2 linked regions of the Cricetulus griseus genome follow. The protein of the gene in region 1 interacts with the protein of each later gene in a pairwise test. Links are inferred from orthologs where the notes say so. Each region holds a gene or a part of one and is shown in the gene's direction. Other genes may lie near its edges.

Evidence for each region. The genes of interacting proteins can lie anywhere in the genome.
Region 2: the proteins of Homer3 (region 1) and Pax6 interact in binary tests that used the Homo sapiens proteins (3 or more experiments, as listed by UniProt). The link is inferred for Cricetulus griseus from reciprocal best matches to the Homo sapiens genes HOMER3 and PAX6.

The regions. Positions count from the first base shown.
Region 1 is NW_023276806.1:248,684,405-248,688,149, reverse strand, and holds the start of Homer3 (homer protein homolog 3), read left to right. Parts: upstream 1-1,150; 5' UTR 1,151-1,289; intron 1,290-2,648; 5' UTR 2,649-2,716; coding exon 2,717-2,730; intron 2,731-2,840; coding exon 2,841-2,997; intron 2,998-3,335; coding exon 3,336-3,467; intron 3,468-3,745. UniProt on the Homo sapiens protein: Postsynaptic density scaffolding protein. Binds and cross-links cytoplasmic regions of GRM1, GRM5, ITPR1, DNM3, RYR1, RYR2, SHANK1 and SHANK3.
Region 2 is NC_048599.1:72,004,661-72,008,405, reverse strand, and holds the start of Pax6 (paired box protein Pax-6), read left to right. Parts: upstream 1-1,490; coding exon 1,491-1,500; intron 1,501-3,745. UniProt on the Homo sapiens protein: Transcription factor with important functions in the development of the eye, nose, central nervous system and pancreas. Required for the differentiation of pancreatic islet alpha cells.

The DNA.
Region 1 (3,745 bases):
ACCAGGTGAGCCCAGAACTCACAGAGCTCTCTGCCTGACTGTTCCTCTCAAGTGCTGGGGTTAGAGGTGTGTGCCACCATTACTAATCCGTGGTGCTGGGGTGGAGCCCAGGGCTCCGTGGAAGCTCGGCAAGAGCTCTCCACAGTGAGTTGCAGCCCCCCACCCACACACCTGTATTGGGGAGCAGGGTTCAAGCTGAGGGTCCAAGACATTTTATTTTATTTTTTTTCTGTTTTGGGGGACAAGGTCTCACTGTGTGACCCAGTCTGGTCTCAGCCCCGGGGTGCGGGAATGTCACAGTGAGACAACCCGTCCAGCTAGGTCTAGAACCTGCTACTAGACTCTGGCAATACCCATTGAGCACCTACTGTATGCAGCCCACGAGCAGCCACACGCTGTCCTCCTCAGCCTCATCTCGCAGCCCTACAGCGTCAGCGGCCAGACCCCAGTTAACCAAGAAGCCACCTGAAGGCTCCAGGGCCACCCCTGGTAAGAGGCAGGAAAGCAAGGGGTCACTGTCCACTCATTTCCTGTGTCTCTCGCTATCTCCGGGTCTCTGGCTCATCCAGGATGTCCGCTGCTGTCCACACACCCTGCCCCGATACACCCACCAACACCCACCCTGTCTTCGCAGCCTCCAGCCCATCACCCTGGGCTCTGACCCACGGCCCCTCCGGACAGGCTCTCCTGTGCCCCTACCCTCCACGCCCTTCTCCAGCCCGCCGCCCTCACCCCTGCCACCTTCCACCTCTTCCCTGTCTCCAAGAAGCTCCGCCTTCTTTTCCGGCCCCTGCCTCTAATCCCTTCTGCTCCAACCCCCTGATCCCATGGGCCCCTCCCTCCCGGCCCTCCAAAGGCCAGCCTTCCCTGCGCCTTCTCTACCCTGTCCCCCTCAGCCCTCCTCGCCCTGCGGTCCCCTCACCCTGCCTTCCAGTCCCCACTCCTTCCCAGGCCCCGCCCTCCGTCCCCTGCCCACCTCACCCCCGCTTCTTCCTTTTGCTCCCTCCCTCTGCCCCCCCAGTCCCTCCTCCTGGCCTCCTGGTGCCCTCCTCCCCTTCTTCTGCCCCTCACCCCATCCCTTTCCCCCCGCTTCGCCCTTGCTGGTTGCCCTCCCTGCTCCCTTCTGGGCTCTCCTCCTCCTCCCCGCCCTCGGACGCTGGCCGGCAGGGGGCGCTGTGCAGAGGCGGGGCGGCGCGGGGACTGGCCGCGATGGGACCGGAGGCGGCGCAGACAAAGGCGCGGGTAGCGAGGGGCGCGCGGAGGGAGCGGGCCGAAGGCGGCGGCGAGGGGTGAGCCGGACCGACAGGGGCCCAGCTCCTGAGGCGCGATCGGGGCGCGGGGGGCGCAGAGGGCTCGGGAGCGCAGACGGTTTCCAAAGTTGCGGGCTGTGCGGCGGGGCCGGGGCCGGGGCGCTGAGGGGTGCGGGCTGAAGGGCCGGGGTCCTGGGGCGCGGGGCGCAGTGCACCGGGTCCCCCAGCCCCGGCTCCAGGTGTGGGAGGCGCCGAGTCGCGAGCTCTGCCGCTTGGAAAGTTGCGGGTCGGCGGCTCCGGGAGGGGGGCGCAGGGCTGCCCGGCGCGGGGCTTGCGGCAGGAGCCCCACGGCGCGCGGGCGTGATCCCCTGCCCCGCGCCGCCGCTGCGAGGCGCGTGACTTCTTGGTGAGTAACTTTTCCCGACCTCAGCAAGTCCCGGCAGGAGCGGCCCGACCGGAAGGGCCTGGGTTCGGGGACCCCGTCTCCCCAGTCTCCGCCAGTCCTAGTACTTATCCCACTCGAGTTCAGCCGCCCCTCCCCCGCATGGGGGGCTCCGGTTTCAGACCCCGTGACCGCACCACAGCAGCCGCTGCCCGCGGCAGCATGGGGCAGCCCTGGCCTCCGGAGCCTGGCCCTGCATCCGCAGGACCCTCCCAGTCTTCTCGAGTGCAGATTCGGGGGTTCAGGAGGGTATCCAAAACTCAGGGAAGCCCCCTTCTCTCAGTCTGGTTCTCTGCTCCCATCGTGGGGACTGGGACGAGTCGCTTGCCTTCTGTCTCATCCTCCACAGTGCTGGTAGGATGACATTTGCCACCAAGACAAACTTTCATTTTACCGTTTAAATAGGCTAGGGCTCCCTGGCCTCGACTTGGACTCCAAGGTGTAGCCTTGCCCTCGGGGTGTATGCTAAGCCGCCCTTTGGTAGGAGCAGAGGGTCCTGAGTTCCCTGTCAGGCCCTGAAAGTACTCCACTTTTATTCTCAGAGATGGGGATCTGGCAGTGATGTCCAGGGGTGGCCTTGAACTCCGAGGCTGCATGCTCTAACTGCCGTGGCCTCCTGAGTAGATGGGACCCCTGGCTGCCACCACTGATTCAGCTGTGTCACACTTTTTGATGCTAGGCCCTCTGCGGGCTGTTGGATGGGAGGGGGAATAAAATGTCCTACTCACTTGATCTCGGTCTCATGCCCAGTTCCTGTGGGAAGAGACTTTCCCAGTGGCTGGTAACCTGGACAGTGAGTATGTGATTCAAGTGATTCAAGGCCAGCTTGGGCCGAGACTGGTGGTGGCTGTAGGAAATGCTCTGATTCCTTCCTTCCTGCTTTTGTGAAGGAAGTCACCTGGAGGACCTGCCCTGAACATCCCTGGGTCCTTGCTCACAAGCCCTTCTCTCCCCAGAGACCAAACAAGAGGCTCCTGTCACCTCTCCGAGTACCCCTTAGAGGCCACCCATCCCAGCCTGACCAATGTCCACAGCCAGGTGAGCACCCACCCACTCTGGTCAGGCCTAGCCCTCTGGGTGGCCAGCCCCCTACAGAACTTCTGTCATCCCTGTCCCGTCCCCGTCTCCCCCCCCCCCCCCCCACGCAGGGAACAGCCAATCTTCAGCACCCGGGCACACGTGTTCCAGATTGACCCCACTACCAAGCGGAACTGGATCCCCGCCGGCAAGCACGCACTTACTGTGTCCTATTTCTACGATGCAACCAGAAATGTGTACCGAATCATCTGCATCGGGGGTGCCAAGGTCTGAGCAGGGTCCTGGGGGCAGGTGCTGGCCCCATGACGTGCCGCCACAGGGCCAGGCTGCGCGACTTGTGCAATGGGAGCCTTTAGAGGGCTAGACCTCAGTGGGCTCTCACTGGGGGAATTCTAGGCAGGGGATCAGCCCATAGCTATGCCTCTGGGGGATTCTGGGTAGGGATCGTCTACTGAGACAGGTGCCTAGAATTATTTTTTAATCCACTATGTAGTCCAAGGTTGGCCTTAAACTTTAAATACTCCTCCCTCAGGCCGTGAGGCTGGCTGCTCATGGTGGTCTTTATCACTCCTGCTAACCTTGAATCTTGTTTTCCCCACCCCCAGGCCATCATCAACAGCACAGTCACCCCCAACATGACCTTCACCAAAACCTCGCAGAAGTTCGGGCAGTGGGCAGATAGTCGAGCCAACACTGTCTATGGCCTAGGCTTTGCCTCTGAACAGCAGCTGACCCAGGTGGGCGGGGACATGGGCGGTGATTGGCATCTGTGTTCCTTGGGGTAGGTTCACAGATAGCGAGACCCCTTGCGTGCCCTGGGTAGTGGTCATTTGCCACCTTGCTCCAACTTTGCACACTCCTTGTGCCTCTTAGGGGCATCAAATGGAACCCTGGACTGAGCACATCCTCCTGCTCCAGGGGCACCTCTCTCTCCAGCTTCTGTCCACTAGTTTTCAGATTTATTTTTGTTTGTGTTTGTGTATATTTGTGTATGCATGTGACATGAGTGTGCTGA
Region 2 (3,745 bases), on another chromosome or scaffold:
CTTCCAAGAACCCTCTTTTTTTGCGGGAAGGTAGGGAGGGTGAGCAGGTTGGAAGCATTGGAGGGTACTATAGTGGGTCAGGACTTCAATGAGAAGAGTCCATCTTTTCCCTTTGTGAGTTGGAGAGTTGTGGTTCCTTTGCTTGGACCTGGTGTTGCTGGTTTGAGAGTCTCAGCTTTGCTCTTTGGGTTTGGGGAAAGCTGCGGAATAGAAGCCATTGTTCGGTGTCTGTAGACTTTGTAGACCGTGTTCACCCCCTCCTGTTTGTAGTTTTTAAAGCAGTGAGGCGAGGTAGACAGCAAGTGTCACAGTACAGGAAAGGAGAGAAAGAGCTAAACACTAAAAGCAAAGTTAATTACAATAAATGAGGTTTAGGGTAAAAAGTTGGGCTCACCACTTGCTAAGTCCTGAAAGAGCTGAGAGATTGGTTGTGGGGGTCTGACCAGAAGACTTTGGGGGTAGGGTGGGGGGAGTGAAGGATAAAAGAGTAACTAACCAAAGAACTTAAGTTCTAGGGATCTTGGGACAACTGAGGTGCTGAAATTCCTTAGGAATGGAGGGAGTCTGGTCTGAGGCTCACTCCCGAGACTTCTCTAACCCAAGCGGGCGCTCAGGCACCACCAAGACCTTAAGATTCCTTTCACCTCCACACTTCAGGGGTTAGTTGCTTTCCTTACCCAGTTCGGTTTCTACTCCACTCTTGGCTTTTCGGATTTAAGCCCTCCTCTTTCCCTGGTGCTTATTAGTTTTGCAAAGCGAGACCACAACTCTAGTCTCCCCAATTCACCCAACCAAGCCTAGCCAAAGCACCGTTTCCGAAGGATGTTGGTGTCTGTAGGAGAGGCCACTGCAAGTGTGACGCCTTAGTGTTTCCAAGCAGAAGGAGCCAACCCTGGATTCACTGTGGGTTGAGAGTGGGCCTCAGACTACCAGTCAACCTATGTGTTGGGGCCAAGCTGACATATACCTTTCTTTCCCTCTGTTTTATCTCAGGCAGAAGACTTTAACTAGAGGTGAGCAGATGTGTGAGATCTTCTATTCTAAGAGTGGACATACATCTCAGTTTTCAGGCAAGTTCTATGATGCTGTTTGGGGCTTCACATTCTGAAAGAGTTTTTTAAAAAACCATAGTTCTGGTAGACCCCCCCCCCAAAAAAAAAACTGGGATCATCGTTTGTTCTGATTAAAAGGCTAAGAACAAAAATATTTGAGGAAACTGATTGTGAATGTTAGATTATTTTATCCGTAGCTCCCAAAGTACATTTTGCATGCATAGGAGAACAGGGCTAGCTGACCCTCAGATCGCCCCAAGCGGTTGAGTAGCTCAATTTCTAAGAAAAGGAGGAATCTCCAGTGCAGGCACCACCAGGTCTTCCTCAGTAGGAGTGCAGGCCTACCTGTGCAAAGCCGGGGATTAACTCCAATTTTCTTACTAACAGAGCCCCGCATTCGAGCCCCGTGGGACCCGGAGGCCGCCAACCAGCGCCAGCATGCAGAACAGTGAGTGTCTCGGGTCTTTCCCTGGACTCTTGGGCTGGAGGCGTGCCGACCGGTTAGGGGGGTACACAGAGTCTTGGGCCCTGGGGACTCCAGGCCACTGGGCGAGAGGGAGGAGGCCTGGGGAATTTATTTGGGCTGCACGCGTTGAGTGCCAAGTAGCCAGCGAGGGAGGGTAGGGAGGCATTTGCTCTGCTGTGCTCTAGAAGGGAAGAAGCTGGGGCTCTTCAAAACTACTGGCCCGAGTTTTTGAAGCTGCGGTGGAGAAACCCCATCCCCCCAAATCCTGTAACTCATACCCCCTCCCCGCCCCTGCCCGGGCTCTGACCCCAGAGAGGGGGGCTGGGCTGAGTAGGGCGGGGCAAAGGCTTCTCCTGAGAAGAGAAGGAGGCCCCTTTGGGCTTGGCCAAGACTGAACATCTCCTACGACCCTGAGGGGTGTGTGTGTTGGGGGGCCTTCCCTCCCCTAGTCAATCTTAGGCCAGCTCCTCCCCTCCCCTTCCCCCCCTAGCTATAGGCCTAAAAGGGAAGGGGAGTGGAGCACCCAGGGCCAGTGATGGGGAGACCCCCCCAGCCCCGCATAAGGTGTTGAAAGCAGGGTTTATTGGGGCTGGTCAGGAATTGGGAAAACCTTGCACTAGCAAGTGCAGCTACGTGGGTCCTCGTTGATCCAGTCTCTTAGTACCTTTGATTCCACAGCCTTTGTGCCTTTCTCTAACCTTTGGCCAGGCCCTTTGGGGCCTAACCTTTCTGCTTAGCCAATGGCTGCTGGTATATGACAGAGTTAAGCCAAAAAAAAAAAAAAAAAAAAAAAATTCAAGCCTGGCAGCTAGTGAAACTAGGCCGGGTTAGGGTTAGGGAGTCTACACAGGCTTAAGGATACAACTGTGCTTGGGCGTGTAGAGAGGCCTAGGTCTTCTAGAAACATGCAGTTATGGAGCTGTACTGGCTTAATAGAGTTCCCAGCAGCTCGGGTCCACGTTCTGTAATAGCTGGCTGCCCTGATGATGCCACAGGATGGGGTGGGGGGGCTAAACTCAGGAAAGAGATCAAAGATGGGTGCTTTGCAGCTGTGTTTCTACAGAACCTGTCAGATCCTAGGGCTTGGCCCAGGAGGCACTTTCCTTGGCGAAGCGAATACCATGGAGCTCTGACTCTCTTGCCTTAGGTTTTCAGGTGGGCAGAGGCGCTCAGCCACAAGCGTTTGCCCCTCCACCATGACCTGGCTGGCAGGCCCAGAGGGGCACGGGTCGCGGGTTGGCCTGTAGGCTTTGTGTGGCTGGTTCCCGAGTGTGCGCAAGGCGCAGAGCATCCAAATTGACACCATATGTTTTCCTATTAGAAGCTTTGCGGTCGAATTCTAGGCGCATAATCATCGCCACTGGGCGAGAACGCCAGCAGTCCCTAGGGAAGGGACACAATGATTGAGGCTTAACCTCTAAAGGGGAATTTAGAGCTATGTTTCCTCGCTGCCATTTCGATGCTGGCAGAGGCACCCTGGCCCAGTGTCTCTCGGACCAGCACATGCGGGCTGCAGCTGTGGAGGTACTTACTGGCCACGTTATTTTTGCAATAAAGGAGGAGGAAAAAAAAATCTACGATTAGAGGCCTTGTATGCTCTAGCATCTGTAGACTAGGAATTATCCTGGCTGCTGCTTGGAAAGTTTCTCTGAGATGGCCTTTCCTTTTTGAGAAGGTTTGCCCAGAGACCGGCCTCCATAAATTGCATGGTAAATGAGACTTAGAAAACCAACGTGGACGATAAAGAAAATTAAAGAGAAACCGGAAGCGCAGGGTAGGCCTTGCTATGTTGGAGAAGCGACCTGTCTCCTGCAATGTGCAATGTACCCTCTTGCACTGGCCCGGCCCGGCCGGAGCCCAGATCCCTAAACGCCTGTCACTTCTCATCCAATTGAGGCCCCGCCCCCCCTCGGTGAGCTATAACCCCCCTCCAGCCCCAAGCCTCGGGCTACCCAGAAAACGCAGCTCCCCTCGAAGGGGAGACGAGTACAGTTCATTCTCGTCTGAGTGATCTACAAATAGGGACGGAAAGGGTCGTTTTATCACGGTCCCGTTTGTCGTGACGATGCAATTTCCCGGAGCGGAGCACTGTCACAAAGTGACAAGGCTGCCACAAGCGCCCCGACTGATCTTTTCAATTAGCCTTCCATGCATGATCCGGAGCGACTTCCGCCTATTTCCAGAAATTAAGCTCAAACTTGACGTGCAGCTAGTTTTATTTTAAAGA